Linked DNA regions of Tribolium castaneum. The protein of the gene in region 1 purifies or fractionates together with the protein of each later gene. This does not show direct contact. Links are inferred from orthologs where the notes say so. Each region holds a gene or a part of one and is shown in the gene's direction. Other genes may lie near its edges.

Evidence for each region. Proteins that work in one complex are often made in the same cells at the same time.
Region 2: the proteins of Taf5 (region 1) and Tbp purify together in Drosophila melanogaster (affinity purification with western blotting; 4 studies listed by BioGRID). This does not show direct contact. The link is inferred for Tribolium castaneum from reciprocal best matches to the Drosophila melanogaster genes Taf5 and Tbp.

What each region holds. Positions count from the first base shown.
Region 1 is NC_087398.1:2,406,354-2,413,047, forward strand, and holds Taf5 (cannonball), read left to right. Parts: upstream 1-2,252; 5' UTR 2,253-2,316; coding exon 2,317-2,373; intron 2,374-2,416; coding exon 2,417-3,002; intron 3,003-3,048; coding exon 3,049-3,376; intron 3,377-3,427; coding exon 3,428-3,584; intron 3,585-4,037; coding exon 4,038-4,358; intron 4,359-4,412; coding exon 4,413-4,922; 3' UTR 4,923-4,975; downstream 4,976-6,694. Other genes in the region: JhI-21 (large neutral amino acids transporter small subunit 2), read left to right, coding at 1-164, 211-472, 515-657; heterochromatin protein 1, read right to left, coding at 916-1,455, 1,529-1,786. UniProt on the Drosophila melanogaster protein: TFIID is a multimeric protein complex that plays a central role in mediating promoter responses to various activators and repressors. May play a role in helping to anchor Taf4 within the TFIID complex.
Region 2 is NC_087402.1:9,985,440-9,991,582, forward strand, and holds Tbp (uncharacterized protein Tbp), read left to right. Parts: upstream 1-2,694; 5' UTR 2,695-2,786; coding exon 2,787-2,832; intron 2,833-2,876; coding exon 2,877-3,103; intron 3,104-3,152; coding exon 3,153-3,295; intron 3,296-3,341; coding exon 3,342-3,861; 3' UTR 3,862-4,355; intron 4,356-4,402; 3' UTR 4,403-4,908; downstream 4,909-6,143. Other genes in the region: uncharacterized protein LOC657646, read left to right, coding at 1-75, 121-251; Tbcc (tubulin-specific chaperone C), read left to right, coding at 627-1,598; Bka (rRNA-processing protein FCF1 homolog), read right to left, coding at 1,624-2,232, 2,282-2,284; uncharacterized protein LOC107397721, read left to right, coding at 6,001-6,058, 6,105-6,143. UniProt on the Drosophila melanogaster protein: General transcription factor that functions at the core of the DNA-binding multiprotein factor TFIID.

The sequences.
Region 1 (6,694 bases):
TAGTTCCAATCTTCGTCGCTTTGTCCACTTTTGGCGGAGTTAACGGAATTCTGTTCACCTCTTCGCGGCTGTTCCTCACAGGATCTCAAGAAGGACATCTCCCCGACTTATTCTCCTTCATTCACGTTAAACGCATGACCCCCATACCCTCACTGATATTCACAGTAATGATCCCCCAAAGTTTAGCAATTTTTAATGCCCTATTTTTAGTGTGTAACCTCTTTAGCAATGCTTCTAGTCAGTGATGTCTTCGTTCTGATAAATTACTACGGACAAATATTATGGTTTTCTGTGGCGGCAAGCATTGCGGGAATGTTATGGCTGAGATACAAGCAACCCGATATGCCAAGGCCGATTAGAGTGAACATGAGTATCCCAATAATATTTTTGTTCTGTTGCGCGTTTCTTGTGATATTCCCCATACCCTCGCAGCCGTGGAACACAGTCATTGGAGTGGCCATCACGCTGTCAGGTACTTAATTACGGAATTTTGACAAAAATAACACATTTTTAGGCATCCCTGTGTATTATTTATGCGTCAAGTGGCAAAATAAACCGGAAAAATTCAACCAAACTTCGCGAAAATTGACGGAAATACTCCAGAGTATTATGAACGTGACTTCACCACAAGCGGAACAAACACTGTCCCATTCTTAATTTATTTCAATTGTAGGTTTATTTATAAAAATTATAATTTTTTACAGTGTCGTATTTGCAAAAATACCTGTATGGCAGTATAACATGACTGTTTCTTTCAATAACCAATGGTGTGAATATTTTCACGGTTTATTACAAAAAAAGAAACATGAAAAATGAACAATATCTTAATATAAAACACTGCAGGCGATAGAAAACTATTACGGAAAAAATTAACTGGAATCCTACCAAAATAAAGGATTTTCATGACGAAACAACTTAAGACTCATCGGGAGTATGCCAAGCGAGACGTTCCTCATAAAACTGAATAACAATTTGTGGACACTTGACGTTTGCTTCCTTAGCTGGGACTAAATCGGTCTCGTCGGTTCCCTTCCACTTCATCAGAAACATCAGCTGTCCTGTGGTGTCTGATGCTCCTATGATTTTCTCGGCTTGGTAGCCCCGTTCAAAGCCGACTTTTGATTTACTCTTGGATGAACTATCCTTCCCCTTTTCAGATTTCGACTCAGACTTTCGCTTTTTCTTGGATTTTTCGTCGTCATCGCCTTCTGATTTCTTCTTTTTCTTGGACTTATCCTCGTCGTCAGATGAGTCAGACTTGTTTTTACCATTTTCGTCGTCGGAATCTGCGTCTTTTTTTGAATTCTCTTTCTCGTCCGTGGAATCTGAACGACGGCGAGCTTTCTTCGACTTGGGCTCGCCGTCGGAGTCCTCCGTTTCAACCGCATGCTTCTTGGGCCTGCCTTTTGATTTCTTTTCAGACTTCTCTTCACCGTCCTTGGATTTTTTCTCTTTCTAGGGATACACAATTAAATAGATTTCGGGTCGAAGTGGGCTGGTTTTTGCTTGGCTTATCCAATAAACCCACCTTTTTTTTGTCACTATCCTCGTCCGCACTTTTCGTGGTGGAAGACCTCTTCGCCTTGGCTTTGCGCGACTTTTCAAATTCCGCTATGAGATCGGGACAATCGAGATTGTCTTCGGGTTCCCAAGTATTATCGTCTTCGCTATAACCTTTCCACTTGAGAAAATATTCGACCTTTCCGTTTACGACCCGCCGGTCGATAATTTTCTCAACTGAATATTCCTCCTCGCTCTCGCTGTCTTCTACCTTCTTTTTGCCCATTTCTGCAGTTTTGTTTGCGAATAACCGGTAAAGCGATGCTGACTGCGTACTTCTGGAACAATAAGTATTGCTTGCATTCAACTTCGTTACTAAAATGCTGACTAGTTAAGGTAGTGGATAATAATGCGATTGGAGCCGTTATTTACTTACTTTCAACTCTGGCTCTTAAAAAGCCACCACAAAACACCGCCGAAAAGATCCTTTTAATGGCGCTGGAAATATGGCGGGTGGCGGTTAAGAAAAAAATGGTGCCAACACAATTCAACCAATTAAAAATTGTCCAAAAACGACTCTCAGAGTTTTAAAAAATATAGCCAGGAGTTACAACTCTCATACTGCGCTCTCTGAATGAAGAGAAAATCGGATTGTTGCGAAATAAGCCTAGATTTTTTATAAATCGACGTTGAATGGCAGGCTTTAGGGAAATTTTGCGTTATTGATTGTTGTCATTTGCATTAAAGTGTGGTTAGGGAAACGTCAGTTTGTGTTGTATTTATTATTTTACGAGTTTATAAATGAGCGCCGAAGAAATGGAAAAATCTCAACTTGCAGCCGTTCTGCAAATTTTGAAAAAATACAATTTAAAGGTGAGCTTATGGCGAGTAAGCACAACGTAACATTTTTCATTAGGGCACTGAGGAGCTGCTACGAAAGGAGGCCAATCTCGGTAATAACATAGCTGATGGCCCTTTGCAACAAAATTCAGACGTTAGTAGCGTTCTGACGGGGTACAAGAGTGACGGAGATCCAGAAACCTATGAGGACTCTTACATGGAGTTAAAGCGTTTTGTTGAGGGCTCCCTTGACATTTACAAACACGAATTAGGCATGATTTTATACCCAGTTTTGGTCCACATGTACCTCGAATTGGTTTATAATGGACATACGGAGAAAGCGATAAACTTAATGAAAAAATTTGGCCCCGAACAAGACTCGTACTATCAGGAGGATCTCAGGAAGTTGGCTTTGGTCACAAAACGGGACCATATGAACGGGAACGAATTGACAGACACCTTCAAATCAAACCAGTTTATTATTCGAATGTCGCGTGACACTTTGTCACTTTTAAAACGTCACTTAAACGACAAAAAAGCGTCAGTTTTGCTGAACATCATCCAGGAACATCTCTACTTTGATATGTACGAAGGCGTAGCGAGGAACAAAAGCCAGATTGATGCCACGTCAGGTGCCGTTGGGGGAGAGGCAAAACGACAAGGTTCATTTTCGTTATCATAATTACAATAAACACATCAAAATTCCAGATAATAAAACCAAAGTCTATTACGGCATCCCCAAAGCCCCCGACATTCAGGCACTAGCAGCGCCAGTCGAAGACGAGGACGAAGGCGGCGAACAGGACAATCCGGACAAACCTAAGAAGAAAAAAGCCAAAAAAGACCCACTTTTCTCGAAAAAAACAAAAAATGACCCAAACGCTCCACCGCCTGATAGAATTCCAGTCCCGGACATGAGAGACCACGATAAGTACGAAAAAGTGAAGGCGTACAGAGAGGCCTCAAAGAGAGTTACGTTAGGCCCGGATTACCTCCCTTCAGTTTGTTGTTACACCTTACTTAACGCCAATCACACGTTAGTTGAGTTTATTCAGTGAAAATATTTTCTTTATCGGGGGTTTTTTAGGGTTAATTGTGCTGAAATCACCGAAGATTCGAGTATGCTGGCGGTGGGTTTCAGCGATTCAATTGTTAAAGTCTGGACACTTGTGCCTCAAAAACTGAAGGCTATGAAAAGTGGGGAGCAGCTGGAGGATGTCAATGTTGACGTAGAGGATGTCGTGGTAATGTTACATTTTTTTTTAATAATGAAATCGATAAAGTACATGAAAAAATATATAATCAATCAAAATTAAACGATAAGTAAAACTAAATCAGTAATTTCGATTACAATTTTTTGTTCAGAAAAGACTTTTATTATTACTACAAAAGTAATCACTCATTTTTTTAATACAACATTAAATATATTCAAAGTTAAGTTGAGATTTTAGTTTTCGCCCCCATCAAGTCGATAAAGTAGACACCGACTTAAATTAATCGACTACTTGAATAAATAGCGATAAAAATAGGTCGTTGCCGTGTGGAAACCGTCAACATGTTTAAAATCGCAAAATAAATGACTGGAAGGTGTATCATTTTTATTCATTTAAACAGTGTACTTAAAGAAATCTGCCAAGATAGCAACTTATCTGTCATCTTGGCCAGGTTCCAAAAACTTACATGTTTTCAACATGCAGGTGAGAATGATGGATGAAAGGTCCGGTGAGACTTCCAGATCGCTTTACGGCCATTCAGGGCCTGTTTACTCGGTATCATTTTCCCCAGACAAGACTCTCCTTATCAGTTGTTCGGAAGACACAACAATAAGATTATGGTCGTTGCAAATATGGACTTGTCTGGTGGTCTACAAAGGACACATGTTCCCCGTTTGGGACGTCAAATTCTCTCCCTTGGGCTATTACTTCGCTTCGGCGTCGTACGACCGCACTGCGCGACTTTGGGCCACCGACCATTACCAACCGTTGCGATTATTTGCCGGTCATTTCTCCGACGTCGATGTAAAAATTATCAATTTTTTTTTAATATTTTTTTACAGAAATTATTAATTGTAGTGCGTCCAGTTTCACCCAAATTCCAATTACGTTGCGACCGGTTCCAGCGACCGCCGCGTCTGTTTGTGGGATTGTACGACGGGAAATCATGTCCGACTTATGACTGGGCATAAATCGCCCATAATGTCTTTGGCGTTCAGTGTTTGTGGGCGGTTTTTGGCTTCCGCGGGGGTGGATTGTAAAGTGTTGGTTTGGGACTTGTCCCATGGACACTTGGTTGCAGAACTCACCGGGCATGAGAAGCCCATCCATGCACTTGCTTTCAGCAGATGCGGGAATATTCTAGTTTCAGGAGGGTTGGACTGTTTGCTCAAAGTTTGGGATTTTACCAAACTGACTGAGGAAATCAGCTCGGAGGAAGTAAATGTGTCGCATAATCCCGATGTGAGGATCGGGGATGATTATTTATTGAGGAGTTTTGCGACGAAGAGCTCGCCATTGATCAGCCTTCACTTTACGAGGAGGAATTTGCTATTGGCTGTTAGCATGTTTGATGGTGTTAGCACTTAGTTTATTGTAATGTGTATTATTTACCTTGATAAGAAATAAATTTTTTAACGATTTTTTTGGGGTTTGGTTTATGAATCGCTTGAAATAACACTAAAATGTTAAAATAGAATTCCGAGTTGAAAATAAACAGTGTCAACAACATTAAAAATGTTTGCCAGGACTTTTGCCAAAAACATTCATAATTTCTCTATGACGAATCAAACATTTTTATAATTAATATTCACACCGATAAAGTCGGTTATTCAATACTTGAAAAGAAAAAAGTAATGGTCTTGTACGTCGAAGTAATTACTTTGGTTGAACAGACGTATTTTTGGCGTCCAATCAAGAATAATATAAACAAGGATTTATTTTCGAAACAAATTTGTTGTGATAGAAAATTAATATCGTTACAAATTTTTACGCTTTGACTGGTTGTTAAAAAACAAAATAAATGTTAAGGTGCTTGTTTTAACTTTTATTTGAATTAATGTACATGTTTGTAGCTTGTTTTGTTGCGTTTGAAATTAATTTATTTGTGAATAACGTTACCTAAAAATTAGGCAAAGGATATGAAATTATTCATTAAGCCAATGTACAGGGTGAGTCTGCTAAAAGTATTATTTACAAATATACTATTTCAAAAGTATTAATTACTTTTTTTCTATACATGTAATTTTTTCCGAATATTTCTCCCTTTTCGTTATAATTAAAATTAATAAGACACCGTATGTGGAACTACGGCAGGGCCCGAAATGCCCAAAAAATCCAGCTAACCTACCTCAAGCCTAACAAGCGAAATCAAAGTAAACACATATTTTGTAAAAATATCATCGAGCGAACAATGCCAGTGGTGTGGCAGTGAACTTGTTTACGTACCTATTTTTCGAATGAACTATTTGAAAAAGGTACCTCAAAAATTCGCATTACGTGTGCTAAAAATGACTCGAGCATAAGCAAACCCAAAAACAACACTTGAAAATATCTGGAAACTGTTTACGGTTGGGATGATGGAGTAAACCCCACCCCCTATAATACGTCATTAGCTGAAAGCTGTGCAGCGTTCAGCCAGGTCCTGGAAAGCAGAGCATCTTAAGCGACAACGTTAGAAGCATCTGAGTGATATTTGATTCCCGATCGCTGCTGCAACACTAAGTAAGATATTTTTACGCTCTTAATTATAACATCGCAATTAAAAGTTGCTTCCTAAACTAGTTATTAAACTGGAAAAAAAAATAAAATTTCACAATTTGTGTGAAATATGGTGCACTTGAAGCTTTGGCCGGTGGGGCTTTGCATAATTTGCACAAATAAAATCATAAACATGTCCGGCTAAGTTAACATACTGCATACCTGTGTTAAAAATAAGTGTTTTCGGAAAATACGAAATGAATTGAGAGCATTGAATACATCGATTCTGGAAACCATCCAATAAACATGAAATTATTTATGTTACTAATCAATTTTTAAAATAGTTATGACAGGATTAAGGAAAAAATTCCAGGTCTTAAGACGTTAAACTTGGGTGTGGGTGTTACATATATGGGTACCCCCATTTGTTATTGAAGTGGTGGTTAAAAATAGCCGGCATTTATCATAAATTTTGATTTTCCAACGTCTCCAAATTATTCGCTTATTAAAATATATTGGCACTCGCTCACATTCTTCCATGGAATTGAATTACACCGAAACGAAATGTTCTAATTGCAATTGGCAACAATTAATCCGTCTGTTTCAGTATCATGCCAAACGCAAACGAAACCGGAAACCTCCTGACAACCTACTTGATCCTT
Region 2 (6,143 bases), on another chromosome or scaffold:
CTTTTATGTTTATTGGTGAAGGCATTGCTTTTGCTATTAGTTACGGACTCTGGTACAGTGTTAACACCAAGCGAGGTAAACACCACTAGTTTTTGGTTTTATGTAATCGTTTTTTAACAGAATATCGCAAATATCTCCACGATAATTATCCCGAGATCTTGGAATATTATTACAAGATCGGTGAAACAATCGATTCTAACAACAAAATTCGGCAAATTGACTACGCCTATTGGGAGAGTGAAAAACATTGATGGCCGAGAGGTTAATTAAGTCGATTTTGTGGCTCGTCGCTGGTACAGGTTTAGGGTACGGCTTGCTCGTAACAGTGACTCCAAATGAAGAAAATCTGAAAAAAGTACGTTATTTTTTATAATCAACTGTCACAATGATGTCAATCTGACGGCTCTTTGGCAGTTGGTTATAAGAAAAAATCGGCTGTACTTGGGTTTATTTTCTATTATTTATTCTTTCCAGAAATTGCCAGGAATCGACAAGTCCCCTGATTCACTCAACAGAAAACAACAATTTGTCAACGTATTACAGTCAGCTTCCAACTCATCCCAGCCTTTGTACCGCCTAAATAAAGAAAGCATTGATAAAGAAATTCGAAAATAGAGTCAAAAAACATGCAAGTGATGGAGGGTAGTGTGGATAAAATCAGTTTAATAGCACAGAGAGACTATGACCGAAAATTAGGTTTACAAAAACAAAAAGAAACTAAAGAGAGCCAATCTGCCGATACCGAAAAACTGGCATATTTCAACGAAACGTTCAGTAACAAGCGTCAACAAATCGAAAATTTCCTCACCCAATCAAGTGATTTGGACAAAGCAGCGCTTCCCCAGCACTTTGACACAATTTCGAAAGAAATCCTACTCTTGCAAAAATACGTCGCTAATTCTAACATATTTTTACGTTCTTACGACATCAAAAAATGTCACGAATCTTTACAAGAACTTACCAATAAATTAAAACAACTGGAGGAGAATCTTTTGCCCAAGAAAAAGTTCGGGTTTAAAAACAAACAAAACGTGAAACCTGTGGAAACAAAAAAAGAAAAGGATGAAGTGGATTTCCATAAAGTCGCGATTGTGGCAAAAGAATGCGGTTTTGCGAACAAAACTGGAGAAACTCTAACTATGAAAAATGAGATTTTCAAGAAAGACATAACAGTAGAAAAGTTGGAAAACTGTACCGTTAAATTGTTCGGTTCGCCGTCCACTCTCCACCTCAACCAGTTGAAAAATTGCCGCGTTTTCACAGGCCCCGTTTCAACCTCAATTTTTGCAGAAAACTGCACAAATTGCACTCTTGTGATAGCGTGTCAACAGTTAAGATTGCATTCTTCGAGTGATGTCGATATTTATTTGCATGTAACAAGTAGAGCAATTATGGAAGATTGTCACGATATATTTCTAGCACCGTATAACTGGGACTATGATAATCTCGAGTCTGATTTTAAAAATTCAGGGTTGGATCGAAACACAAATAATTGGAAATGTGTTGATGATTTCAACTGGTTGAATGTTGAAAGACAATCTCCAAATTGGTCGTTGTTAGATGAAGGGAAACTTGTAAAAAATTGGGATAATTCATAACGTAGTAATAAAAATTCGTAGTTTATTATGTTTTTGGAGCCCCGTAAGCATCAGGCATGCGTTCAATTGTATACCTATGTTGTGCAACATACATGATGGGAACACCCGGAATTTTCCGAATTCTGCGTTTCAAATCCTTATCATTCGTCGCAACAATGTAACACTTGTGTTGGGTGACCCTCTGGACTAGGCAATCATCAGCGTACGTCCCTTTATGCATGCACTTAATCCTCTCAAACCTCGGATCCTTTATTATCCTCAACGCCACTTTATACTTCTGACCTAATTTCTCTAATTCGCCCAAAACACAATCCGTAATATACGGAATACACTTAGCATACAAGCAGTCCATCATATTCTGAATAATATCCAACTTGTTCTTGATCGAAAAATTAATAAAGTTCGTATCAACCAAAATGTGATATGGAGGCCCCAGTTGGGTGTTGTATTGGAAAAAGAGCGCCGAACTAACTTGGGGCACCTCACGCACTTTCATTTCGTGTGGATCTTCGGGTTTTTTCTTGCGAGGAGGGGCCCTCTGGCTGGCTTTTATGCGAGGGTCGCTGGGACTGATCATTGTTTTCATTTTTGCAAACCGCTTCTGGGCGATTTTTCGCGTCTTCTTCGCCTTACCCTAAAAAACATTTCTATACGCTGTGCAAACACCAAAGCGAACTTTTTACCATCTTTTATTTTAAAATAAACACATGTAGAAAAAGTCAGGTTAAATATGCGTTGCCAACATTACAACACTAAATAAACAATCAGGGAGAGGTGAATAAATTAAATCCAAAATAATTGTTTGTGTGAAAAAACTGTTCCACTGACTCGAAATTTTTAAAAGGCGACATTGTGAGCGTGAGCCGTGAGTGTTATTTTTAAATTTATGATGCGAATTTGAGTGAGGTTAAGGCGGGCGTTGCCAACATTCTGGTTGATTTGTCCCCAAAAATTATGCTAGGAGAATAATTTATTAATTTGCTTCCAAATCCGTTTTTCCAGTGAAAAACAGTATTTTCGTGACGAAAACTCTGAAAGAGAACAATCAAGGAATGTTATTTTGTGTTTGTATGGTCTGAGTTCAAGTTTTTAAAAATTATAACCGTTTATGCTAAATGTTGACTATGATTTTATTGTTCAGTTAATTAGTTCGTTAATTAAAAAAGTGTAAAGACAACAAGTACCAAAATGGATCAAATGTTGCCAAGCCCCGGTTTCAGCATTCCTAGCATAGGTAAGTCTCGATTTTTCCTTCACACTTCCTTAGTGAGGCTTTAGGAACCCCCTTGCACCAGCCCGAGGAAGATCAGATGATTTTGCCCAATGCTCTGCAGCAACAACAGCAGCAGCAACCTTCCACAACATCACAGTCCCAACAAGTCCCGCCTTTGGCCCCAATGGGAGCCCTAACACCAACTCTGGGGTTGGGCATGGGCATGTCCATGCCCCATACGAAATATGCGGGCTTCGCCCTCCCCATCACGAGTATCCAGTCACAAACACCAGTACGTAACTAAATTATTGAATAATTGGAACGTTTAATTAAAATTTTAGCAACACACTATGATGTCCCCTATGGTGAATTTGGGGGGCTCAAGTGGTGCAGCGAACACCCCGTCGATGGGCCCCGCGACGCCGTCGCCCCTGACACCGATGACCCCGCATTCGGCCGACCCCAACATTGTCCCCCAATTACAGTAACAGTCCAAACTTTAGTAAAATTAGTTTGAATATTTTTTGCAGAAATATTGTCTCCACAGTTAACCTCAGCTGCAAGTTAGACTTGAAAAAAATCGCCCTTCACGCACGTAACGCTGAGTACAACCCCAAACGTTTCGCTGCAGTTATAATGAGAATCAGGGAGCCCCGAACTACTGCTCTTATTTTCTCTTCGGGAAAAATGGTCTGCACGGGGGCTAAAAGCGAGGACGACTCCAGACTAGCAGCGAGGAAATATGCGAGAATTATCCAAAAGCTGGGCTTCCCCGCGAAATTTTTAGACTTCAAGATTCAAAATATGGTGGGAAGTTGCGACGTTAAATTTCCGATCAGATTGGAAGGACTTGTCCTCACGCACAGTTCCTTCAGTTCGTATGAACCCGAGTTATTCCCCGGTTTAATTTACAGAATGGTTAAGCCCAGAATTGTACTACTTATTTTTGTCTCGGGTAAAGTTGTCTTGACTGGCGCCAAAATCAGGCAGGAGATTTACGAAGCCTTTGATAATATTTATCCAATCCTGAAAAGCTTCAAAAAGCAATAATTGCTTCATGTGCTACGTTTAATTGTTGACTGTAAGTGGGCCTTTTATATTGTTAATAGACGAGAATCAAAAATTGCTTTTATTTTTCCTTTTGACAAGTCCAATCTAACCTCAAAATTAGTTTTTTTACATTATTAATACATTATGCTGCACTAGAATACAATCAATCGAAAGGGAATGGAAAATTCCGCTCAGTACTTAAGTTCAAAACTGATAAGTAAATAATTAATTAAAGTTGATTATGGTTTACGAAAATTCAAATTTTTGCCACATAACCTCAAATTTTTTGCCAAAAAGAAAAAACTCGCTCGTTTTTGTCTTAAATGAAGAACAATAAACTCTAAAAAAGTGGAAGAATATCAGAAGACGGTACAAATTCCACGCCTTGTAAATACTGGAACTGATAAAAAGCGATGTCAAATTCCAACATGTTCAAGTAATTATTTTAATCTCTACAGTTCGGCGTAAAATAACAACAATGCCCATTTTACCAGGTGAGGCCACACGCCAATAATTGCGTTACTAATCGTAATTTTATCAGATAAAGTGCGAAATTTGGTGAAGAATGTTAGAAGTATGTTCCTAAAATGGTCAGTGCAAAGACCGATTTTGTCCATGTCTTTGGTGGTGATTTTGGCCGTTATCCTGCTCCCCGTGGTCACAGCAGCCACCCTAATGCCCGTTGCGCTATTGCTCACTTACACGGGAATTTTGGCGTCACAGGGAATTTTTTACATAACTTACAACATATTTATCCAAGGAATGCTACTAGCTATGGTAATTGTAGCCTTATTCGTTGTTGGTTTTACAATTGCAACAAGCGCGAGTGTTTTCCATTCATATACAATATTTAAAACGGTTACCATAAAGAAAAAGCAATAAATTTAAGTTTTTATTCGTTTTTATGTGCCATTTTTTCCATTAATGCCCATAATTTTCGTACTACTTGTTCCTCGCCTATTTCACCATAATTGAAGACTTCATAGTTTGGAGGGTTCGTCCGTACCATATCTGTTAGTTTATAAGGAATAAAGTTGTTAAAATGAACGGCTTGGTTTTTTTTTTAGAAAGGATACAGCCTGTGTTAGGTCTTGTATAATCAAATTGTGTTGCAGTTAATAACTTATACAAATATAAGGAGAGCCTGAAATAAATTCATTAGAGACCAACGTAAGAGTCATTTAAATTTCATACTTTAGGCTCTTAAGATTTTGCAGCTTATGATTATAAGTTTCGCACCGTTTTGTTGTTTCCCGGAGTTTATTTTTCTTTGCACCAAATTCGGTAGTTAAATTTGAAAGTTCCTCTTCCAGTTTATTCTATTTTTTTTACAAAGTTATCGTACAAGTAAAATTATTTTTTATACTTACGATTTCAGACTTTTCTTTTTCCAAAAGTTGAGCATTGTTATCCACGATTTCAAAGGCCCTTTCTACTTTACAATCAATCAAAGATTTAACGTTTGCACATATATTAAACAAATACCCTTCTAAAAAGACATAACAGAGTACAAAAATAGATTTAAAAAGATTGCACGTACCTTCTTCCACATGAGGTGTTAACTCATCGAGTGGGTGCAAAGATTCGGTAAAGCGATCGAGTTGTTCACTGCAAGATTGACTAATGGCTTTTATTATCGCCTCAAATTCTACAAGCTCCATTTTTTTGATTAAAACTAATATCAATTAATATTTTTGTAATGACAAGTCAGTCATAATAAAAGTTAAAACCAGTATTTTAAATCTGGGGATTTTTGGTTTTATGACGCCAACAACATAAACAACTCAAACACGAAAAAATTGTACTATTTGAACAACATTACTTCAAATAAAAAATGTTCGGTGTATACTATGTTGCTAAAATCCTGACCAAACTCCTTTTTGCGGTTTAAAATAACAATAAATTGAATGCAAGTTTTAATCTAGGGATTTTTGCTTTTGGATTGCTTGTACTGAAACGGCGCGCAAATTCCATAACATAAAATGCGAAAAATGTCTCAATCTTTGCAAAAATTCACGAGAAACGTTTTGTCTGTAATCTAACAAAGCCACGCAAAAATAACTTAAATACCTTGCACACATGGAATTACAAAAATTCGCTTTATAAGTGTCAGACTCTTTCTATACTCTCGTATTAAGAATGAAGCTCACTGTGGTGGTGCTTTGCGCTATTTGCGCCCTAACTTTCGCTAACAACGGTAAAAAAATGCTCTATTTGATTGTTAATTAAATAACTTTTTGTAGACTCTTCCAATCAACCGCAGGAAATATTACCGGTTGTCC